Linked DNA regions of Stegostoma tigrinum. The protein of the gene in region 2 interacts with the protein of the main gene of each other region in a biochemical or structural test. Links are inferred from orthologs where the notes say so. Each region holds a gene or a part of one and is shown on either strand. Other genes may lie near its edges.

What was found.
Region 1: the proteins of esr1 (region 2) and ccnd1 form a complex in vitro, tested with the Homo sapiens proteins (2 studies listed by BioGRID). The link is inferred for Stegostoma tigrinum from reciprocal best matches to the Homo sapiens genes ESR1 and CCND1.
Region 3: the proteins of esr1 (region 2) and tbp form a complex in vitro, tested with the Homo sapiens proteins (2 studies listed by BioGRID). The link is inferred for Stegostoma tigrinum from reciprocal best matches to the Homo sapiens genes ESR1 and TBP.
Region 4: the proteins of esr1 (region 2) and ncoa6 form a complex in vitro, tested with the Homo sapiens proteins (4 studies listed by BioGRID). The link is inferred for Stegostoma tigrinum from reciprocal best matches to the Homo sapiens genes ESR1 and NCOA6.

Annotation. Positions count from the first base shown.
Region 1 is NC_081370.1:61,635,667-61,643,163, forward strand, and holds the start of ccnd1 (G1/S-specific cyclin-D1), read left to right. Parts: upstream 1-4,471; 5' UTR 4,472-4,691; coding exon 4,692-4,889; intron 4,890-6,305; coding exon 6,306-6,521; intron 6,522-7,497. UniProt on the Homo sapiens protein: Regulatory component of the cyclin D1-CDK4 (DC) complex that phosphorylates and inhibits members of the retinoblastoma (RB) protein family including RB1 and regulates the cell-cycle during G(1)/S transition.
Region 2 is NC_081362.1:16,541,701-16,548,805, reverse strand, and holds the start of esr1 (estrogen receptor), read left to right. Parts: upstream 1-4,093; 5' UTR 4,094-4,200; coding exon 4,201-4,652; intron 4,653-7,105.
Region 3 is NC_081357.1:94,277,331-94,284,237, forward strand, and holds the start of tbp (TATA-box-binding protein), read left to right. Parts: upstream 1-3,881; 5' UTR 3,882-3,993; intron 3,994-6,907. UniProt on the Homo sapiens protein: The TFIID basal transcription factor complex plays a major role in the initiation of RNA polymerase II (Pol II)-dependent transcription.
Region 4 is NC_081372.1:13,070,330-13,077,367, forward strand, and holds the start of ncoa6 (nuclear receptor coactivator 6), read right to left. Parts: upstream 3,027-7,038; 5' UTR 2,906-3,026; intron 1-2,905. UniProt on the Homo sapiens protein: Nuclear receptor coactivator that directly binds nuclear receptors and stimulates the transcriptional activities in a hormone-dependent fashion. Coactivates expression in an agonist- and AF2-dependent manner.

The DNA.
Region 1 (7,497 bases), on a different chromosome or scaffold from region 2:
ATGTGATGCAGTGGGGGGAGGGGACAGACTGGGCTGGGTTTGGGATGCGGTAGGGGAAGGGGAGATTTTGAAGCTTGTGAAGTCCACATTGATACCATTGGGCTGCAGGGTTCCTAAGCGGAATATGAGTTGCAACTCATATTCCGCTTGGGAACCCTGCAGGCCAATGGTATCAATGTGGACTTCACAAGCTTCAAAATCTCCCCTTCCCCTACCGCATCCCAAAACCAGCCCAGTTCTTCCCCTCCCCCCACTGCATCACAAAACCAGCCCAGCTCTTCCCCTCCCCCCACTGCATCACAAATCCAGTCCAACCTGTCTCTGCCTCCCTAACCTGTTCTTCCTCACCCATCCCTTCCTCCCACCTCAAGCCGTGCCTCCATTTCCTACCTACCAACCTCATCCCACCTCCTTGACCTGTCCGTCTTCCCTGGCCTGACCTACCCCCTCCCTACCTCCCCACCTATACTCTCCTCTCTACCTATCTTCTTTTTTCTCCATCTTCGGTCCACCTCCCCCTCTCTCCCCATCCCCGTCTCTGATAAAGGGTCTAGGCCCGAAACGTCAGCTTTTGTGCTCCTGAGATGCTGCTTGGCCTGCTGTGTTCATCCAGCCCCACACTTTATTATCTTAAAGTCACTCCTCAACCTCCTACGCTCCAATGAAATGAGTCCCAACCTATCCAGCCTATTTTTGTAGCTCAGACTAACCACTCTCAACAACATCCTGGTAAATCTTTACTGAACACTCTCCAATTTAATAATATCCTTCCTATAGCCAGGTGACCAATTGTGTGTAGAGGTGTGACACAATGATATGGGGGGGGGGTACAGTTTTAAGAACTCTTACCATTGCCACATTTGGTTTTACGTAAGCAAGAAAGATAAATAATTTTGTTCATAAATGTCACTCAATTGCCAAAAAAAACAACAGGGATGTTTTTCTGCAATGGTACAGGGCCTTGATGAGACCACATCAGGAATATTTTGTGCAGTTTTGCTCTCCTTACCTGTGGAAGGACGTTCTGGCTGTGGAGGGAGCACAGTGAAGGTCTACCAGACTGATTCTTGGGATGAAAGGAGTGGTTTATGAAGAGAGACAGGATCAGTTTGGACTATATTCACAGGAGTTTAGAATAATGAGGAAGAATGTCACAGAAATCTATAAATTTCCAGAAGAACTAACCATGGTAGATGCATGAAGAATATTCTCGATAGCTGGGGAGTCCAGAACCAGGGCTCACAATCTCAAGATACAGTGCTGGCCATTTAGGATTGACAAGAGGATAAATGTCTTCATCCAAAGAGTGGGGAGCCTGTGGAATTCTCTGCCACAGAAAGCCGTTCAGGCCAAAACATCGAATTTTGTCAAGCAGGTAGATATAGTTGCTAAGACTAAAGGGGTCAAAGAATACGGAGAGAAAACAGAAACTGAGTTGGATGATCAGCAAGATCATATGGAATGGGGTGGCAGCTTAGAAGGGCTGAATAGCCTTCTACCGTTCCTATTTTCTATGTTTCTAAACTACTGAGTTTGAGGGCAATTAGAGACGGCCAATAGACACTGCCCTTGCCAGTAATGCCTATAATCCTATGAAAGAACAAAGAAAACATGCAACTGAGCAGCGAGGCTTTCCGTTTTGGTGGAAATTAATATGAGGCAAGTTCTGAAGAATGATCGCTGATCCAGAGGCGTTAAAGTGTTTCTCTCTCCACAGATGCTGCCAGACTCGCTGAGTTGCTCTGGCATTTTCTTCCAAAATGACAACTGGGTTAACCTGCAGAGATGGCAGGAACTGCCGATGCTGGAGAATCTGAGATAACAAGGTGTAGAGCTGGATGAACACAGCAGGCCAAGCAGCATCAGAGGAGCAGGAAAGCTGACGTTTCGGGTCTGGACCCTTCTTCCGAAAATCTGCCATCGTCAATATTTAAAAAAAACTCTTCGTAAATGAAATCAGTAAATCAAACAGCAGCGTGTTGAAAGGCGTGAGATTTTATACATATATAGCCTTTTGCCAGTAATAGCGGCTAGTTTAGTTCTGGAGATTAGATACCGAAACAATCCATATTAATCTTTCATCTTTGCCTACAAACTTGTCGTGACGCTTATCGCTGCCTCAGTCATTTTCCGCCTACCTGGAACAGCACTGGGTTACCTGTCCAGTTAACACACCTACCGTACTAACCTGTGTAAGCGCCGCCATCCACACTCTGTGCTGACACGCTTTCGAGTGTCAGCGAAAATCCGGGTTGAATAAAAACACGCCAGGAAGGTTTACAGCGATATTATCGGCAACATTTTTATTTTATTTTGTGTGTGGAGCGCTTAATGGAGATTTTTTTTAGAAGTTCAATCAGCAACTTGTTTCTGTGTATTTTTGTTAATTTCTCTGAACTTTCTCATGGCGATCGGAATGGGTCACCGCCTCCTCTTTGAAAATGGAATTGCGTTCCAGTTTTCAGTGAAAATTAGTTTCGATATTAAGAGTCACAGGCCAGACCGCGGCCACCGTTTAGATGTGAGCCTGAAAGTAAACCCACGCTCTCATTTCCACCGCTACTATTTTATTTTAAAATAAAGAAGCTCCCCCTGCCCCAAAAGGCAGAATTTCACAATACACAGCATCATCGCGCCGGGAAGTGAAAGTCTACAAAACGTGACTTCCGACCCTCCGCCCGCTCTGCGCTGAATTTGCTCTCGCACTGGCGGCGAGTGAGGGGCAGAGTTGGAGAGATGTTACCTCAGCGTTCCGTTCCCAAGCCCTCCTCTGCAATAAAACAGTACCCCACGCCCTAGCCCGGTCCAGCCCTTTGTTTTGTTATTTTTTCTCACTCTTTAAAAATAGATCCTAATAATAGGATTATAATTTTATTTGCTACAAATGCTGACACACAGGAATGTTTGGGAGCGGTGTTTTTCGGGAATGGGGGGGTCATTGCAGGACTGCGAGGCGAAATCTTCAGGCAATCAGTAGCGTCGTTTCTGTGCGTGGTGGTGTGTGTGTATATTTTAAGTGAAATGCACAGATCCCTCCTCACATCCGTTTTGACAAATGATCTGAGTTGCTCGGCAAAAGCTTCCTCTGTTCGGAACAATAGCTTAGCTGTATTACGGTAATTAGATGCAAGCGGAGCATGTGGAGCTGTTAATGTAGGAGCAACTTGGAATCTCAGGAATGTCCCGGCTTCCATTAATGATCATGCGACAAAATTCACAGCGAGAGAGAGAGAGAGAGAAAGGGGAAAAGAAATAAGACTCTAAGAGACGGAGAAAGGGAGGGGAGGGGGTAATCTTTCTCACCATTCAATAAAATTATAGGAGCGATTAGAAAGAGAAAATAACAGGCCAGCCACAATGAATTAAAAATAAGACGATCTTATCTCTGAATCACCATTAAAGCAAAGGTTACAAAGGGCTTGATTGAAAAGTTTTGCAATTCTGTAAAACAGAAAGGAACTGTGATTCAGTACAGTGTGTGTTTAAAACAATGCAACACATTTACATCAAGGTGATCCCGATTTTTCAAGCCGCACGCCCGGCCCCCCGCCCCCCCGATCAAACTCCATTGTGAGCGCCCACATTCCTTCGAACAAAAGAGACGGCGCTGGATGCCTGAGTGATCGATGATCGCTGAGGCTCCGGGCTCGTTGATCTGCCTAGTAACAATCTTTTCCGCCATTGGCTATGCTAATACCTTCGCCTCTTATTTCTACCGGCGTAAGGGGTTTCCTCTGACAGACCGAGCAAGTTTTGCCAACTGAACTTCATCCCTCCCCTCCACCCCGATTCCGGAGAGAGAAAAAAAATCTTTTTCAAGTGAAGAGAGAGTTTTTGTTTTTTTTAAAAAACACGCAGAAATAAAGAAGCCGGGAAGAGGAGCACATGCAAAGCAGGAAGCGTTGGGGATAGACTAGGCTGACCCCTGGATTGCGAAGCTGTCGTAGCAGCAGTGAAAAATTAATAACCATGGGGTCGGAATTTTGCACAAATGCAAATGATCATAATGCACCAAAATGCATGTTTTATCCCAGTGGGCACAGTAATCGCTTCCTCAGATATATGCGTGCGCGGCTGCTTTGCACGGACCTAGAGGTTTTCAGTGTAGAATAAATCTTATTTTTAACATTAATTCTGCTCCCATTGTACCCAATGCTCGCGACTTTCACTGAACTGTCAGTCAATCGTGGGATGACTGACAGCTGAGTACAAGTTCCCACTGAATGCAAGGACTGAGGTTTAATTTTTGCAAATATGTAAGTGTGCAATGTTGCACACAGATCTGGGAACATGTCCGGCTCCTAGACACACACACAAAAGTTTCAAAATAAGCCCCCGTCGCCGCAATAAGGTTGAATTTGAGTGGATCTTGCTTCGGAATGGGGGCGGCTTTATCAGCTCCGTTGCCCTTCCCAACCCACACAGACACACACACACACACACACCCCCACCCCCCGGGTTGGCCTCTCTCGTTCCTCCTTTGATCTTCCCAGCCGCAGCTGCTCTACATAACAACTCAAAGCCGATTGCGTCACTCGCGGGCAAGTTATAGTTAAAGTTTTTTTTCCCCTGAACTAGAGCCTCCAGAGGCAGCAGCATCCCTTGCTTTAGTCAATGCAATAAGGAGAGAGAGAAAGAAAGGAAGGAAAGGGGTGAGAGAGAGAGAGAGAGCAGAGCAGAGCGCCCTAGCAATGGAACATCAGCTGCTATGTTGCGAAGGAGAGGCTATCAGAAGAGCTTATAACGATCCCAATCTCATCAATGATCGTGTCCTGCAGACTATGCTCAGAAGCGAAGAGAACAGCCTGCCCTCTCTCAGCTATTTCAAGTGCGTCCAAAAAGACATTGCGCCTTCCATGAGGAAGATTGTTGCGACTTGGATGCTGGAGGTTTGTGCACAGAATCTTATACAGAACCTAGATATCTCTCTCTCTCTCTCTCTCTTGTAGTTATACTCTGGGTATCGAACGATGTGCAGGACCTGACATTTGTGCTTTGCAGGACGTCAGTGCAGCCCGATTCTGCCCAGATTTTTTTTAAACTTGCAAGCTGGCGGCACAACTGTTGAATTTGTCATAGAGACCCCTGTAAATTCCACCCCCGCCCCGCATCCCAGCCATCCCGCTTTCCTTGCTTTCCATCTGAGTGGGGTTACTGATGTAATGTTTTAAATGCAGTTCCTCTTACCGCTCTCTCTCCCTCTTGTCCTCTAAACACCTCCCTCCCACACCCTTTGCTGTGTGCCCACAAACAGACCCACACTCACCCCTGACCATGAGCTGGTTACGGGGCAGTAAGGTGAGGTGATGTATTGGAAGGGCCGGTCGATGGGGGGAGGCTGCTATGGAAAAGGAGAAAACGCTCTCAATGCCGTATCCCAGTCACCCAGCCCATCTACCCCTCTCTCTGTCCCTCGGCCCCAGCTCCTGGGGCTCAGAAATGAATTTTAACCCCAAAATGAGGTTGTACACGTATGCAGCTCAATGCGTGCCAGTATTCAACGCCATCTTTGTTCAGAATAACTCGAGAACCCCCTCCCCTTCCAAACGCCTCACTGGGTCTGGGCAAGGATGGGGGGGGTGCTTTTTACCTCTTTGGGAGGGTGGCAAGCCCAGGGTTGCGGGGGGAATGTTGCTGAATTTCCGGGTGTGAAACTGACAGAGATTTCCTCCAAAGTCAGGGTCTCAGCCAAAACTTCCCAGACCCTGTGTATCTGACCCCTCTCGGGGAGAAAGGTCTCAAATTCATGGGCAAAAGTGGGGTCAGAGGGCTGGAGAAGGCGCCCGGTACAAAGTTGAGAGCCCGCTGCACATTTTCGTGCTGTTTCCGTGCTGTTCCGCCCTCGATGAGTATTTTTAATCATTTTTTGAAGGAGCGCAGCGGCTGGTTTATGATCGGGGCGCAGATTGCAGCGTTACCCCCGGGGGGACTCTCATTTCACTCCCTTTGGCAAGTTTAACCACCTGAAAATGCCCCCAGCATTGGCCAGTTAGAAAGAGCGCCGGTTGCGCTGGATTTTCGTCCCCTTTTGGGCGCCCGGGCTAATTTTTAAATATTTTTAAATATTTTTTGAAAAGATGACGACGCGAAAATTCAAGCCGGGTTTGGGAAAGAGGGAGAGAGACAGGAGGAGGGGAGTCTGTCTGTCTGTCCAACTCAGTCCAAATTCCTGGGTCTGAGAAAAGGGTGAGAAGGAGAAATGATGGAGGGTGAGAATTTTTTTGGGGGGGTTACGGGTGTGTGGAATAACCCCCCCCGGCACCCTCCAGGTAATTTTCCACTTTGTGGTGTTGCCCCTTCTGTAGGTTTGCGAGGAGCAGAAATGCGAGGAAGAGGTGTTTCCGATGGCCATGAATTATTTGGATAGATACCTGTCGATCGAACTGACCAAGAAGACCCACTTGCAATTACTGGGAGCTACTTGCATGTTCCTGGCGTCAAAAATGAAGGAAACGATTCCGTTAACAGCGGAAAAATTGTGCATTTATACCGACAACTCTATCCGGCCCGAGGAATTACTGGTAAATAGCCAATCTCTTTCCCTGTCCGCCCCCCCAAAAAAAACGCCAATGCCCTCTATCTGAGCTCAAATCTCAGTCCTCAGAACTCTCTCTCAATCTTCCTTGAATATCTCCTCCTCCAATGTATCACCAGCAGTAACTCCTTCCCAGCTCTACCCCCCCCCCCAGATATTGTGCAAACACAGACACTTTCAACCAGATTCTCGCATTTAAGGAGTATTCAGTGATACTCAATTTGCAAGTCTCTTCCTAATGCTCCTCAAGTTAATCAGAAGCAATGTTTCACAGATCCCCTACGCGCCCCCCCCCCCCTACACACAAATAAAACACAAGCATCTATATCCCATTCACAAGCCCCTCCAATTTGGGAACCCCCAATAATTTTCTTTATCATCGTGCGCTGACAATTATTTCCGCTTTCCCCCAGTCCAATAGCCGGAAAAGAAACTGTTGCAAAAGGAATCTCGAACGTTGTCACTGAGTTTTAGAAGTAGGGCTTGAGGGATTTTTCGTTTTTGTTTTGTAGATTCTCGGTGTTCCAGACTTCTGTTGTTGAACACTGAACAGTTCTGGGGTTTTATAAAGTGGAGCGTGCAGGACCTCAAATGCAGAGGAACTGAACTTAATATTTTAGCCCCACTCCCCTTGTTTCTGAGGCGGAAGGCAATTGCGAGGGGGTGGCGCCCTCTTTTGAGATCAGCGGCTGTACCCTGCTGGGACCCTGCTCTGAACAGCGTCCTGTCGATTAGATATCAAATCAAGAGCAGATTAGTTTATTTCTTTTGTTTTTTTAAAAATGTATTCCATAGGTCACAGTTGCGCACAACATACAGACTCTGTTTAAACTCAACATTTACAACAGTGATTTTATTTTTTTCCTAACTTTGGTACAATGCGGAAGCATATTAAGTATCTATTTTCCAGCAATACGTTTTGCAAATATGCCAGTGGTATCTAAAATACATTTATTCTCAAC
Region 2 (7,105 bases):
GTGAGTGAGGACTAACAGAGCAAGCAATGAGCCTATGGTCCGATGCGTGTGTTGGGGGTTTGTCCCTGCAAACAAACTGTCCTCGCAGCGGTATGAAAGATGTTGATGTATTCTAAAGTGCAACATTGAGGTGGAGGATCATTTTGTCAGTGGGACAGCAAGGCCCATAGGAGATCAGGGAGGCTTGAAACGGTCCAATGTCAATGTTTTCAGAGAGGGTAGGGTGCGTGTGGTCATTGTCCGTGAAGCATACCCTGAGATGTTAGTGTCCAAGATGGATAGTCAGAGGAACAAGCTGTGAGCTATGAGGTAACTGCTCTGGTTTAAATAACAGGAATTACGCTGGCCCAGTTCCTATCCAACTGCTGGGCGGATAGAAACCTGCCTATCAATGAGGCAGGATGGGCAAATAATGAGATTAATAATGTAGACCAGCAGGCCCCTTGTTGCTCACTAGTGAAATTCTTATCTTGCTGTTTAGCACTTGGTTGGAAAATGGGACTTTTGCTCACAACATAAAGAATATTATTACTTCTGATCTCACTCAATTTTCCCATCATTTTGTGGCCTGGATAATCTCTTCCAGTAGGATTTCTGGCACAGCAACAGGCCACAGAATCTAGTGCAGCGCTTCCCAAATCTTGCCCCCTTTTGAGACTGGATACTTCCTATTCAGTGAGAATAGAGAAGGGCCAGGATGTGGGAGACTGGATGGGGGTGGGTCAAGTTAGCAGGGAGACGTTCAGCCATTGCTGCCTTGGTGTTTGCCAGTCCAGAATTTCACCTTGCAACCCCATTTGAGGTCTAGTCTAACAGTTCAGCACCATGATTTAGCCTGCATTTATATGTCCTCCCACCTCCCGTCATCTCACATATCCTTCTTATCATTTTCTCACAACCGTGGGTTTATTTAGTTGCCCTTAATTGCCGTTATGTTATTTGTCTCAATCTCTAAACTTCCACTCTTCTGGTTAAAAGTTGAATTTAATCAGGATAGCCTCTCTGCATGCACCTTCCCCAGTGCCTCTATAAGCTACAGCTTAAGGGTCTGACAGTACAGCACTGACTGCGAGGTCTATGTCAAATGCTGGCCAATTTGTTTCCTATCTTGCGCACTTTCTGTTCGTTCGATTTGTTTTTTTGACCTCCTGCGGGGCGGGCAGCCCATCGCTCAGTTTCACAGAATATTCACGAGTACCCTCGCTACATCTTGCGGTGTGCCATTGATAAATTATGCATTAAAAAAGGCCTCATTTGTTCCAAAAATAATCAGAATGGCCCTTCACCTGCTCAGTGTAACAAAAGCAAACAAATGAAGATTTGGCAGCAGCTGCTGGATGTCAGTGGAGAATAGCGGGCCCCTTCCTCCAAAGAGGCGCAGAATTTCTACGACAAAAGGTCAAAAGTCAATACTTTTGGTACATCTTTCTGTCAAAACCTCTTCATCTTTCCACTGCAATAAATCCCCGAACTTTACCTGCTCACATTCCCTTTACAAAAATCGAAATATTTGCAATTAACTGTTGGCTCCTCCAGCAGTACCACCAACTTGTTAACACATTGATTCTTCTATACCTTCTGCTCCTCAGGCTGAGGCACGGTGCCATTTCTGGCAAAGCAACAAGATGTATGAGAGATTCGCCTGTGCTGATATTTCAAAATTTCCAGATCATTGAGCTCAACAATACCAGAACAGAGCAGGGCTAAATTCATTTTCAGTCTGACTAAGCAGCTGTACAAGAGTCTCATTTGTAACTCCAGCTTTGGCCTTGTGTATAGTACACTTTCTTGGAGTCCTAAGGCTGTAGGTTCAATTCTCACTCCAGAGGCCTGAATGGACTACAGCCCAGAGGATATAGAAGTGTTGAAAGTACCAAAATTTTTGAACGAGTCATCAAAGGTTAAGGTGAATTTAATAGATTCCATTGCACAATGAGTTGTGTGTTAATCACTCAGATGACACCACTAAATCAGATTCACCAGTCACTTCGTGAATGTGAGATCCTACTCTGTGTGTAATTTTGGTTGCTACATTTGTGAAAACAATTATAGTGATTATATTTCATAAATGACTTATTGGCTGCCTGTGTGGGGGCTGTGGAGAGGGTTAAAGCGAATATCGGTGCTTTTCTCTGCCTTAACAAACAAAATCCTGGCTGCTTTCTGACTTCTCATTCAAAAATGAAAGGGCATGGCTTTGGGAACAGTTGTACTCACCAATCAGTAAGAGAGTGATTCTTTCTGTCTCCAATCTGGCACATTATATTCCCAGGAATTCCAATCTGGCACTTGCTATTCCCAGAAATTTCAGCCTCGGTATGTTCTTTACCTCTGCGCTTGATGAGCTCAATTTTAAAGGGCTTATCCCTATTCTTCCAGGGCCTTGTCTATCGCTATCTCTGTCATCTCATCCAATTATACGATCTGCAGAGAGCTCTGTGACCCTCCAATCTCACCGCTTACATACTCCCTAGTCCCTTCCTTGCACTGTTAGTTGTCCTGCCTAGTTCCTAAGCTCTAGAATTTCTTCCTGAAATCTTTCCACCTCTCTAGTTTGCTTTCTCCTCCATGATAGCACTCCTGAAAGCCTAGATCTTTGTGAATGAAAATGGTAACCCATTTGAGTACCCCATTACCTCTTGTCAAATCTTATCTGTGAACACTCCTGTGACACGCCTTGATTAACTGTGTCTGAGCCACCTTGTTGAAACAAGTTGGTAGTGCTTCTCGCTGATGAGCTATGTTTTTCTGGGACTTCGTTTTACCAAAGCAAGCTTCCCGAATCAACACCTCGCCACCGAACCCTCTTCTCTACTGGCAGCTTAGGTGCTGTCGATCACTCCTCATCCAATAACGTCAGTCCGCATAAAGCACACATGACTTCCTGGTGGGCTGGTTGGGATTGAGGGTCTGTTTCTCATGCTGTGTGAAAGGAAGATTGATTTGGAATTTTGACCCTCAACTCCATACCAGCACGCACATCTTTACAGAATGGCAACACATGTAATGGATTTTGACCAGGACAAGGAATGGAAAACAGTTGTGTTTGAGTACAGGTGCTTCCATTTCTAGCAGCTCAGAAACGCTCCCTCTTCGCTGAAGCCCGGTGAAGGTGGGCCTGTTCTTCGCCAGACTCTAATGTGACACCAGCTGGCTGTCAGTGTGGCTACAGATTGAAAAGAGGTTCACATCCTTTCAAATGATTTTCTTTTCCCCTCTGTTGTATGTTTATTGACATGTTTTTAGCGCTAACAAATCATCCCTTTAAAAGTCCAGATTAAAGACCCAGCCAGACATTATACCATGAATAGAAATAATTCGTAGCAGCAGCAGCAGAAAAAGACTCAGGTAGAGAGGCTGAAGAAGTGGGAAGAGCTCCAGAAAACTATTCAACACTTCGTTAACACATTAGCCCAGGTCGTTCCAATTTGTCACAGGCGCAAACTGAAAATAGCACTGTTTGGCTATGACTTCTAATTGGTTCAAGCTCTTGGCTTACAGCTCCAAATGTAGAGGAGGTGTTCCGAACGCATGGGCTTGCTTGAGTCAGGAGGCAGCCGAGAGTGGAGAAACTTAAGGGAGAATAGGTGGGTGTGTGAGTGATCAGGCGATTAAGCGGGTTTAGATTTCTGGGACCTTTCCTGGCTTCGAAATTTCTCGGCTTTGCAGGTGAGGAGACCATGGGGGGGAGCGGGGGGAATCCCCCAAGGGAAAGCTGCCCCTGAAGCTGCAGAAGCGTAGAAAGGCACACATATAATAGAGTCTTTAATGTTTGGTGGAACATCAATTCAATGTCACTTTAACAGTGTCTGCCTGCGGTGGAACATTACACTAGTGCCAGTGTAAAACAGCCTTTTGATTTCTGGCTGGCTGCCAACACCTTTGTAATGCTTATTAGCTCAGATGTGAAAGACTTGGGTTTGAAGTTTGATTCTGTCGTTCTCCCTGCACTCTCTCACTCGTATCCTCCTCCTCCTCTTCACGCAGTGCAATCAGTGTGTGGATGAAGCGCTGTCATCAGTAGTGTGCGCTGTAGTACTCGTCCTCCCCTGACAGTGCGATTTTCTTTCCCTTGTAGGTTGGTCAACTGATATGAAGTGCGATCCTCCAGGCGACAGTGTCAGTCTGTGACACTGAGAACTGTGTTGGCTTTGGTTTTGCTCTTCCCCCACCTACACCCCCACCCCCCACTTTCTCTGGATGCTGGTCATGGCAATTCCACTCCATCACAAATCACCTGCGATCGCTTTGCTGCAGAAGATTCAGGCTAGTGACTTGGACACTTTTGGCAGGCAAACTCTACAGTTACCTATAAGTGGCGATGGACCTCTGAACGAAATCTATGTGGAAAAAAACCGAGCCGGAGCAATGAACTACCCAGAAAGTGGCTACGAGTTTGCTGCAGCAGCTACCCTGTACAACCCGGCTGGTCTCGGCTACACAGCCTCCAGTGACTCGCATGGTTCCAGCAACATCGGGGGGCTCCACTCCCTCAACAGCATGTCTCCGAGCCCGCTGGTCTTTTTGCAGACTGCGCCCCAGCTCTCGTCCTATGTGGCTCACGGGCAGCAGGTCCCCTACTATGTAGAGAATGAACAGAGCAGCTGCAGCAGTTTTGGCTTGAGGGAGGCTCCCCCTTCAACCTTTTACAGGTAATGAGAAAGTGCTTTATCTATTCTCCCGACAGAACAGTTGTTGAAGTGGGTGGGGGGTGGTGGTCGGTGGTGGGGGTGGGTGTTACTGGTGGGAGGTTGGGATGGAGATGGCAGACCGTTCAGCTGAACGCACCCCCCCCGCCTTGAATGTTTGCAACAGAAGTCTGCCGTTTGTCCCTGAAGTGTTCCTGAAATGCTATTTTTTGAGTATGACACTTCTCTACATTACTTGTTGCAACATGAGGAGTCAGATGAAAATTTTACGAGGTGCATCTCTCTTCACTCAGTGCCATGTTTAGTTTGGACGGGACACAGTCTGTCCCTTCCACCACCCTCCCCCCACTCTCCCCTTCCCCAGACATTAATCTCGCGAATGGGCTGCTTTTGGGTGTGCCCCAGATTTTACAGCCCAGACCGCTGAAGTTGTTTGCGATGTAGTTACAGTTGCTAAAGTCCGTCTGTCCCAGTTGCCCGTAAATTGCACTGCAGTCAAAGAATGCGAGAGCATAATTTGAATCTCTGAACAGTTTCTACTTTCGATTGTGGCTTCTGGGCGACGTTATCTAAACTGTCTCTCTGCCTGGAGAACATTTCATCAACTCATCGTTTCCCTGGACAAAATAGACACTGCTCCTTTAGCCCTCACAAAGGGGGCAAATGAAACCTTGGGGTCATTTTGTATCCCTTGGGCTGCCATTGCTGCTGATCACATAGTGACTGTAACTGCGTAGTCCAATCCTTTCCTCCCCACCGCATTGAAATCTGATACCACGGGCAGCTTAAATTGACTCGAATGAAAACCATACCCACTACAGGATAGAATACCCCCACAGCCCCAAATGCAGTCGGATTTAGAATGAGCACATTCCTTAGCGTGGGGGCTTTGTAACGAGTTAAACCCTGAGAACCCTTTCGTTGTCTGGCATTCCCTCGTGCTTTGAGGGAGAATGGATATAAAAGTTCATTTTGTGGTGTTAGGCAATAATATCACCGATAATTTGCTACGTCCCGAGTATAACTTTCCGAATAGCACTCAGGAATTCAAAGCATAGCAGCGTTTCGACAGTTCTGTGCCAGTCAAAGAGCCGCATTAAATAAAAGTAGACTGGTAGGGAAGGATTCAGCTCTAATGTTCATGACACAAAGAGATGATTTGTAGCCCTAGTATATTAGACACAGGTTTTCCTATCACTGAGATTTTTCTCAACATGTTGAGACAAGCTTCGTTTTACACTTGCTGTTGTCACTGTTTTGATTGTGCAATTAACAGTTCGAACATGAGTCTCTGTAAGGCCAAATGTGCATTTTTCTTTTCTTTACGAACTAACTGTGATGTGAAGAGTTTTGACAATATAGAAGAGGAGAAATTGGTTCTACTGGCAGGAGTTACAGGACACAAACTGGCAATCCAAGCAGAAGGGAGGCAAGGAGAAAATTTTTTATCAGGTAGTCATGGCCTGAAAGATGCTGTCTGGGTGTTAGAAGCAGATCCAACAGGGACTTGTAGAAGGACGTTGGATAAACATTTGAAAAGGACAATATTGCAGGGCCCGGGGGAAGAATAATGGGTGGAAGAGGTGTGCAGGGTAAACTGACTAGATAGAGAGAGCTAGCACAGGTACTGTGGTCCAAACGGTCTCTTTCTGTGTTAGAGTTTTGATGATTCACTGTCATGGTGCAATTTTAGGTGGTTCTTCACAATGAGATCAACTCCCTGTGTCGCCTGAACTCTATTCTGTTCTGTTGTGACTCTTTGTCTACACATTGGAATGTGGGGTGGAAATGCCCTGGTGTACCTGGGGATGGACAGAACAAGACACAATAGAAATGGGGGCATTTGGCCCCAGCATGTGCAACTGAGACAGATAGTGGATGAGCTATTGATTGTCAAGAGCTGGCTGGAGAGCACAACAGGTCCTCTTAGATCAGGATATGCTTTTGTAACATGATCGTTTCTTTATATTGATTTGCCTTGAACTATTCTCCTCACTATGGCTTCCATCCCATGGAATGTGAGCTATGGTATTCTGGATCTCTCTCCTTCACTGATGCCGCACCCCCCCCCCCCCCCCCCCCAACCTCCACCCCATCAGCCTTTCCACAATGAACTGGGTGAGCATCAAGTGAACCTCCCCCATTGCTTTCTCCTTCTGTCCTTGTGAAGGGACACACTGCCTGGGCTTCCCAGCGGTTTCAGTGAAAACCCACTGGGACACATCCCCCTAGCCACCCTACCCTGTGGCTGGGATAGTGAGAGACCAGCGGTGTCAGCCTGCCAAATCCCCCAGAACCTGTTGCTAAAATCCCACTTCCTCACGCTGGGTTGACTGATTACTCAAACTGTGCAGGTGATCCCAGTTTCAGTCCACACTGAAATAAGGCCTAGGTGGGTCTGGGGGCATATGGGGGAATACAGATTACCACAGGTCCTCTGGGCTGGGAGTAAAGGA
Region 3 (6,907 bases), on a different chromosome or scaffold from region 2:
GTGTTGGATGCTCCAAAGGGGTTGTGAAAATGTGACAGGACTGGGCATTTCAAATGAGTCTAAACAAAAAGAGGCACCACTGCTGTTAAGACAGGGAACCCATCCAGAGCAACAGCCTATGATTCTCAAAAGATGTTAAAAACTGGTTGGGCCTTCCATCAAGAGCCAGGCGAGCAAATGGGGGCAAGGTTCCTTCAGGAATCTTATGTAGAAATACCACAGACATGCTCTACAGTGAGAAATTTGGCAAGATAGAAGTGCTGTGCCTAACTGACACAGGAATGGTGATGTCAAATGTTGATCACGAACTTTTCTGTGACCATCTTGCTGAGAAATGTTGCTATCTCTTCTTTCATCCAGGTGTCTACTTCACACGAGTCCGACAATCTCTATCAAGCTCTCCCTACCTGCCCTCAATCTCTCGTTTCATAGCTTGGATATTCTGGTAGTTCATGACCTGATCAATACTCGTGTGGAAATAAGGAAATTGAGCATGTCCATGGTCAAATATGTTAAAAACTTTCCAGGTATTTTTGGAAAGCATGTGACTGCAATGAGTAGATTAAAGTTAGCAGACGGGGCGCAGGATTCTTCAACTCTGCTTTGCACACTTAAGATGTAATAGCCTGTACAGGACCACAGAAGGTTGTAGTATAGGGGATTGGGTTGTCCTACCTACTTGCACCATCGCTGTTCTTGAATTGTCAGACTAGCATCTCCAACTGGTGAACATCAGGCCATTGATTACAGTTTTACAAAGACTCCTTTATGCCACACAATCTAATACTTCTTTGATGTCAGGGACACCACCTCACCTCTGTAATTCAGCTCCTTTGTTCGTATTTGGACCAAGACTGCAATGAGGCCTGGAAATCCATAATCCTGGCAGAAGCCAAGCAGAGAATCTGTGAGCTAGTTTTGACTAAATAGATGCTACCTGTTAATATGATTTTTAATCCTTCTTTCATTCACTTTGCTGATGATAGAAAGCTTGCTGATTGGGCAGTAACTGGCTGGATTGATTTTCACCTTTTTTTGTGAACAGGACATACTTTGCTCAAGCAATGTTTCAAATTGTTGAGCGGATGGCTGCATCACAGCTATACCAGAGCTTAGCTAAAATTAGTTTTGCAGCAGAAATTAGTACTGCAGCCATGAACAGACTCCACATCCAGTATGCTCAGTTGTTTCTTGATACTATGTACAAATTAGGCCACTCAGCATGCTCTGCCATTCAAGGCAAAACTTATGTCCTCCCAAAGGAAATATCATTAGTTTTCCATTAGCTAACCTCTGTTAGGAGGTGATGGCATAGTGGCAATTTCGCGAGTCATGATATATAAATGGTCACTAATATTTTGAGGACATGTGTTCAAATCCCATTATGGCAGATGAATGAAATTTGAATTCAATAAAAAGCTAGCTTGACAGCAAGAAATGAAGCTGCCGCTGATTGCTGTAAAAATCCATCTGATTCACTCATGCCCTTTTGGGAAGGAAAACTATCATTATCTGACCCAGCCTACATGTGATTTCAGACCATGAGACTGACTCTTAACTGCCATCTGGGCAATTAGGGATACAAAACAAATGCTGGACTAGCCAGCAACACCTACATCCTAGGAATGATTGCATGATAAGCAGCACAAATCAACATAGATTGGGTGCATTGCGAACATACTTCCAATACTAATTGCAAAACAATGGATTCAAATAGTAGAGTAGTTGTGTAGTTTAAGCTTGACTCGGTAGTTTGCAATCATTTCTGAATCAGAAGTTATGGGTCCCAATCCCACTCGAATTTTAACATACAAATCATGCTGATGCTTCACTGCAATACAGAAGAACTACTATTCACCTGTAGATGGAAAGGGATATCCCAACAATGAGAAGAGGTAACATATAAGTACAAGCTGATTCTTATAAACCTGTGACTATATGAATACTTATTCACAAACCTTGCCTGCAGATATTGTGTTCTAGCAACTGCCACTTCAAATGGGCTAAACTTGCCACAGGCCAACAGGAACTCAGGGCTGCTTTAGCTTAAAAGAGAAAGTCAGAAGTCACATGACACGGGGTTATAGATTAGATTAGATTCCCTACAGTATGGAAACAGGCCCTTCGGCCCAACAGGTCCACACCGCCCCTTGAAGCATCCCACCCAGACCCATCCCCCTATAACCCGCACACCCCTGAACACTACAGGCAATTTAGCATGGCCAATCCACCTACCTTGCACATCTTTTGGATTGTGGGAGGAAACCGGAGCACCCGGAGGAAACCCACGCAGACATGGGGAGAATGTGCAAACTCCACACAGACAGTTACCTGAGACTGGAATTGAACCCGGGTCCCTGGCGCTGTGAGGCTGTTATAGTCCAACAGGTTTTTACAAAATCACAAGCTTTCAGATTGCTGCTCCTTTGTCAGGCAAAGTGCCAATTACAGTCAAAGTTTTACAGTCAGAAAGAGACCATTTGGCCTACACGCCTGTCATCATCCACCTATCTACTGAAGGCCCATTTCCCAGCAGTTGGTCATTCATGTTTTAAGTGTTCATCCCAACATTTCTTAAATGTTGTCAGGGTTCCTGCTTCTACCACCCTTTCTAGCAGCAAGTTAGATACCCTCCACCTATTAATGTACCTTATAATTTTGGACACTACAATCAGATCTCTCTTCAGCCTTCTCAGCTCTAAGGGAAACAACCCTAAACCGATTTCTCTTCGTAGCTGAAATGTTGTAGGCTGGGCAACGTTCTGGTGCATCTCCTTTGCACTCTCTCTGGTGCAATCACGTCCTCCCCATAGTGTGGCAGCCAGTAATGCACACTATACTCCTGCGGCCTAGCTTCATATACTGTTCCATCATAACTTCTGTTCTTAAATATTCAATGCCTTGACAAATAAAAGCAAGTATCCCATATACCTCTTTAAACACCTTATCCACTGGCTCTGCTGTTTCAACAATCAGTGGACATTCCAAGCTGTACTTCCCTTACTTTGTTAGTCCTTCCAGATAAATCATCTCACATTTAGCCAGATTGAATTCTATTTGTCACTGATATCCTTCAACAGCCTCGGCTTTCCTCTTTGCTACTTACTGCACCAATTCCTGAAGGATGCCCTTTAGGGAAGGAAACTGCCATCATTACCTGGTCTGGCCACAGCAACGTCACTGACTCTGGGCAATAAATGCTGCCTAGCCAGCGACGCCCTCAACCCGTGAATGAATAAAGATATATAAAATTATATAGATAACACAGTGTGGGGCTGGAGGAATACAGCAGGGCAGGCAGCATCAGAGGAACATGAAAGCTGACGTTTCGGGTGGGGACCCTTCTTCACAAATGTGTTATCTCAGACCCCAGCATCGGCAGTTCTTACTATCTCTATGAAATTATGTACCCGTGTCCAAACTCCGCACTCCCCCGGCGATTACCGAGAGCGTCCATCCTAGGCGTTCACCACTTGCCACATTAACTCAACGACAAACAGATTCACGAATACGGATCGAATAACTCTCTTGCCTCGTCGGTCAAACATATTATTAACAAAAAAAGTGCTGAAATGAAACAAAAAAACTTTGCTGTAAATGCCTAGATGTTACTCCCCCACAGAGAATAAATCTGTACTGTAAAACTAGGAGACCTTACTGAAACCCCGGAAGGAGATTCGATGAAAAAAAAGCTTTCGCATTCATCGAAGCCCCTCAGATGCTGCGAGTTTAAAGGAAAGAAATCCTCTTCCAAACGGTCTCATCCCAGGTCCATTCAATAACGGTTAGGCTTGGTGAAACATCCTCCCCCCACCCCGGTAACCAAAAGCAGCCTCTTCCCGCCTCCTCGCGAGCGAGAATAGGTCACGTGATTGTGCGCGCTCCCACGCAGTGGCGGCTGGGAATGGCTGGCCCACGGTTCCAAGCACCAGCTGGAAGTGACGGGGTTGCCGGGTGATCGAGCGCGAGCAGCAGGGGACATTGAGTTTCTTGGTGAGTCAGTGGCCGATGGAGAGGGACAATGTCTCCTCAAAACAGCTCTTACAGTTTCCAGGCTGGGGAATCTGAGGACAGCTGTTGTCGTTGCCTGTGCTATAGCTTGGGCCTGTACCGGCTGTTGCGTGCAGTCCCCCGGTGTTCAGATGGATTACGAAAGAGTCTGGTTGAACGTGGGGGTTGTTGGAGACTGGAGGAATCGACTGGTCCCGCCGGGGTTGATGGTGTTCTCAAGAGAGCTGTGTGTAAACAAATGGTGCATGTTTGTATTTATCGCTCCCTCTCGACCTCTGTCCTATTCTTTCCCACCATCTCTCTCACCACTTTCCCACAACCCCGTTCCCACCCCCCACCATCTCCAGGCCACCCAATTTTCCATCTCCTTTTTCACCAACCTCGGTGATATCATCCATTTTAGACTCTGTTTCCCTCCTCTTTATTTCATTTTCTTGTACCCATTGCAGCTTCCCTGTTGATGCTCTCCTCAATGACATTCTATTTGGCATCCGCTATCTCAGCCACCTGCTCCTTTGGGACCCTCCCTCTAACAGAGGGTGGCACGGTGGCTCACTGGTTAACACTGCAGCCTCACAGCGCCAGGGACCTGGGTTCAATTCCAGCCTTGGGCGACTGTCTGTGTGGGGTTTGCACGTTCTCCGTGTCTGCGTGGGTTTCCTCCGGGCACTCCGGTTTCCTCCCACAGTCCAAAGATATGCAGGCTAGGTGGATCGGCCATGCTAAAATTGCCCGTAGTGTTCGGGGTGTGTGAGTTATACAGGGAGGGATCTGGGTGGGATGCTTCAAGGGGTGGTGTGGACTTGTTGGGCTGAAGGGCCTGTTTCGATGCTGTAGGGAATCTAATCTCACCAATCCCTCACTCTTGACATCCCCACTCCTCATTGACATCCACTGCCTCTCACCACCAACCCACCTTTCTGATACCAACTGCCTCACCTTAGCTTCTATGGTACCCACTGGCCCATTCTACTTGATGTCACCTTGGCACCCAACATCTTGTAACCATTATTGTTTATTTTGTAAAGCTATGATAGTGAGTAGAGTGGAGTTTTTTATTATATGTTTTATTGAGATTGGTCTCTAGATTAAACTGTAATAATATAAAACATAGGTACTAAGTTAGCCTTGAGCAGTTTTTTTAAGGGCAGTTAAGAATGTGTGCTATTTTCTGGGTCTGTGGATAGTCAAGATGCAAAGATGGCCTTTGGAAGACATGGTCTTCCTGTCAGATGTGGGAGATTAGGGAGTGTTTCCATGTAACTGATGACTTTGTTTGCAGAAAGTGTGCCTGGTTGTGAATCCTGTTGGATCGCATGGATTAGTTGGAGTGGCAGTTAGAGGCAATGAGGAACTAACGGAAGCTAAGGAATATGATAGATGGCAGCTTGTAAGAAGGGAGAAAAACCACAGAAACAGTCAGGTACATGGGTTACCCACCAGGAAAGATAGGAAGTGAGGCATGACGTCCTGGAGTCTTCTGTGGCTATCCCCATCTCAAATAAGTATGCTGTTTTAGAAAATGTAGGGGGTGATGGATTCACAGGGGAATGTGGCGTGGACAGCCAGGTTTCTGGTACAGAGGTTGGCTTTAATGTAAGGAGGAGTACACCAGGTTCCAAGCAAAGTAATAGGGAACTGTGTAGTCAGAAGCACAGATGGAAATTTGTGGCCAACAGTGAGAAATCTGAATGCTGTGTTGCCTCCCTGGTGCAGGAATCAAGGATATCTTGGAGAATGTGCAGAATGTTCTCAAAGGGGAGAGAGGACAGCAGGAGGTTCCTGTACACGTGAGAACTAACAACATAAGGGGAAAGAATGAGATTCTGAGGAGAGTATATAAGATATTAGGCAGCAACTTGAAAAGGAGGTCCTTGAGGGTAATATCTGGATTACTGCTGGTACCACTGGCTAGTGAGCGTACAGGAAGATGGAGCAGATGAATCCATGGCTGAGGATCTGGCACGGGGTGAAGGATTGACATTTTTGGATCATTTAAATGTCTTCTAGGGTGGAAATGACCAGATTAAGAAGGGTGGATTGCACCTGGATTGGAAGGGGTTAATATACTGGCGTGGGATTTACTAGAGCTGCTTGGGAGCATTTATACTAGTGGAGGGAGGGAAGAGGCAGGAGCAATGTAGAGAATGAGGTAGGACTGATAAATTAAACAGCATTTATTTCAATGCAAGAGCCCTAATAGGTAAGGCAGATGAACTCCATGCGAACGTGGGACTGAGATATAGCTATTACAGAGACGTGGCTTGGGACTGGACACGATTACTAACTTAATGTTCCAGGGTATAGATGATATAGGAAGGGATAGAAGGGTGATGCAAGAGAGGAGGGGGAGTGGAGTTTTTGATTAGGAATAATATTTACAGCTGTACTTAGGGAGAATATTCCTGGGAGTCCATGCAGGGAAGCTAGTGGGTGGGACTGAGAAATAAGAAAGAGATGATCACCTTATTGGTATTGTACTATAAACCCCAATAGTCAGCGGGAAATTGAGAAACAAATTTGTAAGGAGATCTCCGTTATCTGTAAGAATAATGGGGTGGTTATGGTAGGGGATTTTAACTTTCCAAGCATAGATTGGGACTGCTGTGGTGTTAAAGGCTTGGATGAAGAGGAATTTCTTAAGTGTATACATGAAGATTTTCTGGTGCAGTATGTGGATGGACCTGCTCTTGGGAAATAAGGTAGGACTAGTTACTAAGATTTCAGTGGTGGAGCACTTTAGGCCACTGACATTATTCCGTTTAGTTTTAAAATAGTGATGGAATAGGATAGACCGGCTTTAAAAGTTAAAGGTCAAAATTGACCTTCCTCCAATTTAGAAGGTATGAGGCAAGACTCCCAAAAGTTGACTGGGGTGTTTGCAGGTCAAGGGATG
Region 4 (7,038 bases), on a different chromosome or scaffold from region 2:
CATCTTCGGTCCGCCTCCCCCTCTCTCCCTATTTATTCCAGAACCCACACCCCATCCCCCTCTCTGATGAAGGGCCTAGGCCCGAAATGTCAGCTTTTGTGCTCCTGAGATGCTGCTGGGCCTGCTGTGTTCATCCAGCCTCACATTTTATTAACTAAACTTAACAATATTTCTCAAAGACATTTGTGAAACAAGCCTGTAAAGATGCAACTTTTATGTAAAAGCAAAATACTGAGGATGCTGTAAATCTGAAACAACACATGAAGAATACTGGAGAAACTCAGGAGGTCTGGCAGCAGCTGTGGAGAGGGAAACAGAGTTAACACTGAGTCCAGCATGACGCCACTTCAGAACATCATTCTGTTTTTTTCGCAACCTTTGCATGTTAATGCATAAATTATTAAGTACTTAAAAATTAATTTGCAGCCTATATGCCAACTTTGTGCATCATGCATATTAAGATCAATAGTCTTAAAATTTCAAGATCTTCCCCCTACCTAATGTCCACAGTAACATGGATCACAAAAAGCTTGATTTGCCTGGATGTGCCGTTAAACAAAATAGAATTAAGTACTGTGTATAACATTCTGAAAATACAAAATATCAAGATCTAGGACTACAAATGTGTAATTACAAAACTCTGAGGTGTACACAGAAATATTCAGCACCAGTGACAACCCATCAATTAAGTATGCTTCTGTTCACTATAATTTCAATGCAGCAGCTCACTGTATCAATGGAAGGACCTATGTCCCTGCAGGCCAGTGTGGACCAAGACAACATGAAGGACTTTGTCTTGTTGCAATTTAGTCTACATTCATGTGCCATTCGTTACTGATGAATATAGCTGCAATATCTGCATTAGCACAATTAATAAGGCAGAAGAAATCACAACATGAAAGAAATTTTAAGAAAAACTTCTGCTTGAGGTACAGAAAAACTTGTTACCTACCAACTGTCTTTAAAAGGTATCAACCACACAAAAATGTAGTGACCAGTGCAAGGTATAAGCTGTATGTATTGAGTCAGTGTCAAAGTAAAAGTAAAAATCAACACCAATAAAAAGGGCCTTTTCGCACACCAACACACTTCTCAGCTAACGTGTCACAGAAAAATTAATTTTACCAATAAGAATTATTTAAAATATCAACTTGAGAGATCTACATCCAATACTTGACAAACAAGTTCATGTGAAAGTGTATGCCTTGTAAAAACAGTAAGCTAAAAAAGACAGACAGTAGGAACTGCAGATGCTGGAGAATCTGAGATAATAAGGTGTGCAGCTGGACAAACAAAGCGGGCCAAGTAGCATCATAGGAGCAGGAAAGCTGGCATTTCGGGCCTAAACCCTTCTTCAGAAAAGGGTCTAGGGTCTTCTGAAGAAGGGTCTCGGCCCGAAACGTCAACTTTCCTGCTCCTTTGATGCTGCTTGGCCTGCTGTGTTCATTCAGCTCTACACCTTGTCATGTTAGCTAAAAAAAGACAGTAAGTTATTACATGCTCTACAGCTGGTTTCTACTCATCATTCCACACAGAAAAGCTGTTTAAATGGATCTCATGCACTGCAATAATTGAGCCACCTACACAAAAACTTCAATGTACAATTTAAAAATCAAACAAGTTCGTATAACTTAATGAAACCAGTTCTGAGGAAGGGTCACTGGACCTGAAACATTCACACTTTTTTTTTCCTTCACAGATGCTGCCAGACCTGCTGAGCTTTTCCAGCAACTTTGTCTTTGCTCTTAGTAAAATTATTTATTTCACCCTTGAAGCAAGTTTCTGGAAGTCGCTACAGATACATATCCATCACATTCAAATTCTTTCCTATAGGTTTAAATCCAAACCAACAGAAACACACTAATTCACAGATCAAAAACAGAACATTTATCATTAAGGATTTAACTGGTACTCACATTCATAACAAGTAAGAAATTGATCAAGTTACCCAATGTTAGTAGTTTCAAAACTTAAGGAAAAAATTAGGGAACGTCTTTAATGAGGATAAATAATTTGAAGATGAAATACAGAATTACATCAGTTAATATTAAAAAAAACACATTGATTGTACTACACATTGCTTCTGTAACAACGTATTTAACTAATGATAATGTAGCCCCGTTTCTGCAACTGTATAGACAAACATCAGAAAGAACCTTGCCCTTACTACAGTTTTATGTGCTTTTACTATTGAATTCAACAAAAAATGCAATACAGGATTTATTGAAGTAAAATTCAACTGTATTTAACATGACAGGAAAATTTGCATCATCGCATTCTTCAAACAGAACAAAACAACTTGATCATAATCACTATCAGACAAGAAGTAAGGAAAAGTGACATTCGAACTCTGCTCAAATGGGTGGTGGAAGCCTATTCAAAGGTATTTTTTAAAAGGGAACTGGATAAATGTCTGAAAAGTGCAACTTGGCAGGAGTAATGACAAAAGAGACGAGGCTTAAGGACTTATTGCAGATTTTGTTTCAAAGAAGCAGCAGAGGCATAATAGGTCAGAAGGTCGCGTTCTAGATTATTATGAGAAATTAAACAGACCACAACAGTGTTTAACACCGAACAAGGGAATGTGACAATTGGGAGGAAACACTGTGATACGAACTGACAGATCGATCTCAGGCGCGCCGAGAGTGAACTATTCTTAAAAACATATGGATAGCTGGTTTGTGTTTAAATTAATCGACTAAGCGAACTGGGAGGTTTGGGTATCAACCCAACACCGTACATTGAGGCGGAGAGGGAAGGCAAAGCTCGAAACACTGCGGCACAATGAATGACGGGGTGGGGGGGTGTTTAAGAGTGGCACCGGGCCCGGGATTGATGCCAAGCTTGCTCTGCCCCCAAGAGTCGTCCGAGGCTGGCAGGGCCCCGGTCTCTGTCACAAACTTACCGGCCTCAGTCAAGCTGCTGACCCAGTCGCTCTCATCCCTGTGATCACTGCTGGAACCTTAGTTTCACACAGCCATAAATTTCACAGGTTGATGCTGAATAGAATTTGCGATCGGCTCCCTCCTCCCCCTCCCATCCCCCCCCCCATCCAAGACCCGTCAACACAGCGACCAGCATCCACAGAGAACTACCCACTAGCCGACCCCCCCCAAACAGCCGCGCTCCCATTGGACTCCCCTCGACGGAGGCGTGATCGGGCTTCAGTAAGGTGCTGTTCCATTGGTCGGCGCGCCAGCCAATCAATGCTCAGGGCCGGCAGCGTGGTGACGTCAGGAGCCGCCCCGGCGGCTGAGAAAACTCCACCCACTGGAGGTATCGCGCAAACTGTTCTGTTTCAAGATAATGAGGTGCGGGGCTGGATGAACACAGCAGGCCAAGCAGCATCAGAGGAGCAGGAAGGCTGACGTTTCGGGCCTAGACCCTTCTTCAGAAATCTAGTACTATATTCAGTATTTTGTTATATTGCCTTGATTTAGTTATTTAAGGTTTAATTTGCCTGGATAGCACACAAAACAATGCGTTTCGCTGAAAACAACATATGCTGGAGATCACAGTGGGTCAGGGAACATCTATGGAGAGAGTGCAAGCTAACGTTTCAAGTCTAGATGACTCTTCATCGTATTCGCTGTATCTCAATACGTGACAGTAATAACAAAGTGTGGAGCAGGATGAACACAGCAGGCCAAGCAGCATAACCAGCCCAGCCTGTCTCTGCCTCCCTAACCTGTTCTTCCTCTCAGCCATCCCTTCCTCCCACCCCAAGCCGCACCTCCATCTCCTACCTACTAACCTCATCCCACCTCCTTGACCTGTCCGTCTTCCCTGGACTGACCTATCCCCTCCCTACCTCCCCACCTATACTCTCTCCACCTATCTTCTTTACTCTCCATCTTCGGTCCGCCTCCCCCTCTCTCCCTATTTATTCCAGTTCCCTCACCCCATCCCCCTCTCTGATGAAGGGTCTAGGCCCGAAACGTCAGCTTTTGTGCTCCTGAGATGCTGCTTGGCCTGCTGTGTTCATCCAGATTCACACTTTGCTATCTCAGATTCTGCAGCTCCCATTACCACCTATTATCTCTGTGACAGGAATGGTCCGGGAGAGGGCTGCGCTTGCGCGTCTTAGTCACCATGGGAATAACCGCGCATGCGCTTCGCCCGGAACTGCCGGCGAAGCCATTTTCTCCGTTTTTCTTTGTCCGTCTGCAGTTCATTGTCAGCTTTCTGCTTCCCTGGAAAGGGTCTTTGTGGTGCACTGGTAATGTCCCTATCTTTGAGCAAGAAGGCCTAGGTTAGTTCAAATCTCACCTGCTCCGCAATTGTGTAATGACATCAGAAAAACAAAATTAAATAGTAGTTCTTTTGTGCAGTGGTAATGACCCTAAGGCTTGGGCTCATTGCCCTACCTGCTCGATAGTTATGTCATGACATCTCTGAATAGTTTGAGTTGATTTATTACTGTCGCATATCGAGACACAGTGAATCTGAAAAAGACTCATCTAAACTTGAAAAGTTAGCTTGCCCTCTCTGCATGGATGTTCCCTGACCCACTGTGATCTCCAGCATTTGTTGTTTTGTGAAAAGTATGGTTTTGTGTGCTCTCCAGGCAAATTATACCTAATATAACTAAGTCAAGGTAATAGAACAAAATGCTGAATATAGTATTACAGCTAAAGAGAAGGTGCAGCAAAAGATCAACTTTACTATATGAGACCTCTGTTCAAAAATATAAGTAATGGTTCTTATAGTCTAGTGGTAATGTTCCTAACTCTGAGCCAGGTGGCATGGGTCCAAGTTGGACCTGTTTGAGAGGTGTGTCACCTCTCAACCCACCTGGAGTCAGAAAATTCAACTTATACAGGGAGCACTGCTTTCTAGTAGTCCCTGACTTCAGTCTCAGATTTGAGTAACCTGGTTCTCATATTCTTCTTTTCACTTAGCTGAAGAACCAAACAATTATATTGGAGGCAATGATGAATTTCACTGTTAGTGCCTCAAGAAGACAATGAGTTCCCAAGTTATGGAGAATGATCCACGTTCACAGCATCCCACTGTTAATCTTAATCAATGGAGTTGGAGTAGGAAATGTTGTGCTATGACTTTCTGAGAATTACTTTGGGATGTTCAGCCTGTTTTCCTTGTCAGGGAGGAAGCTGAAAGGAGACCTGACATGTTCAAGGTTGTGAGGGCTCTGAACAGAGTAGACAGGGAGTAACTGCACCCACTTGTGAAAGAATCAAGAATGAAAGGGTGCAGACTTAAAGTAATTGACAAAGGAAGCAAGGCAGTGGTTTGGGGGTGGGGGTGGGTAATAGGAACTGCAGATGCTTAAGAATCTGAGATAACAAAGTGGAGAGCTGGATGAACACAGCCGGCCAAACAGCATCTTAGGAGCAGAAAACTTTTCTGCTCCTAAGATGCTGTTTGGCCTGCTGTGTTCATCCAGCTCTACACTTTGTTATCAAGGCAGTGGTTTGGATTTGGAATACACTGCCTGAGACTGTGATGGAGGCACATTCTGTGGCTTTAAGAGATGTGTTTTGGTGTTTTAAAACGAGACTGGGGAAAAGTAATGAGCAGTCTGTGAGAAGACAAACAACTTGTGAAGCCTTGGGGAATTTTTTTAAAGTCATAACAATCATGCAGCATGTATGGGTGTGATCAAGCTCTCACAGATCCAGGATTTTTAGTTAGATTTCAGCAGTTGTTGCTGGGGTCTCAGCGGTAGAGGAAGGCAGTTAATCCCTCCTGGCTACTACATTTTCGGAACTGTCTTTTGATGTTCTTTCGTCATAGATTAGAGAACTGCATGTGAAATAGTCTGTTTTCTGAATTTGCCTTTTTGCTAAGGGTGTGTTTATGAGATGTTAACAAATTGGAACAGTTAATTAGTCTTATTTATGGTATTTATTATTGTGTTACGTTTTCCAATAGAATTAGGTTATCATAAGTTTTTGTGTTTTGACTGTAGTGTTTTAATAAGTTGTGTTTTGCTTAATGTTAAGTAGCTTGACCAATCAAATTGCATCTGGAACATAGTTACAACAGTTACCTTTAAAATAAAAAAAACAATTGGAGTCTAGGCTACCTTCTTAATATATTTTGAGGAGGTCTGGTCTGGTCCATGACAGTATTTTCAAAAGAGAATTAGCCTGTTGCCTGAAAAGGAAGACTTCATGGTTGAGGGGAGAAGGCTGGAAAATGGCAGTTAGTTAAAATGACCAAAGATACAGTGGACTGAATAGTCTCCTTCTATGCTGAAGGAATTCTGTGATTCTGGGTATTTGGCCCAATTTCTCACTTACTCATCAAGGACATGCCTTCAACCCTCCTTAAAAAGACACCCCAGCTTTTTTTTAACCTTCACTACTCCATACCAATCTTCTGCTTAATGATGTAGATTATTCTACAGAATTGCCTAATTATAGCTGTCTGTTTGTAAGTAGAAATAAAAGCAGGAAGTGGTGGAAATACCGAGCAGTTTGTGAGAGCATTTGTGGAGAGAAGTGGAATAAACATTTCAGGTCTGTGACTCTGATCCAAACTAGGAGAAATTAAAGATGTAATAAGCTTTCAGCAAGGGCTGGGCGGGACAAAAACAACAAAGTTTTGTGACAGAAGAGTTTGAAAGACTGAAGCACTAGCCTTACATTGCCAAAGAAATTGGTGATGGGTCAAGAAAAGAAACAAAGAAATAAAAAAGTGCCTAGAATAGATACGATGCTGACTGAAAAGAAAATGAAACAAGCAAAGAAAATGAAATGGAACAGACATTATATAGTCTGAACCCAGTAATGAGTTTGGAAAGCTGAGTTCAAAGTGAAACACTGTTCCTCAAGGTTGTGTTTAGCTTCACAGGAACACTGCAGCTAGCAAGGTGCAGAGATGTTAGTGTGGGAGCCAGATGTCAAATGACAGATCACTAGAAACTCAAGGTGGCCCTTACAGGTGTTCCATGAATTGGTCACCAAATCTCCATTTGGTGTCCCCAGTGTAGGAACCATGTAAATAGTGAATACGGTAGATGAAACTAAAAGCATACTTAAATGAGACACCACAAAATGTGGAGCTGGAGGA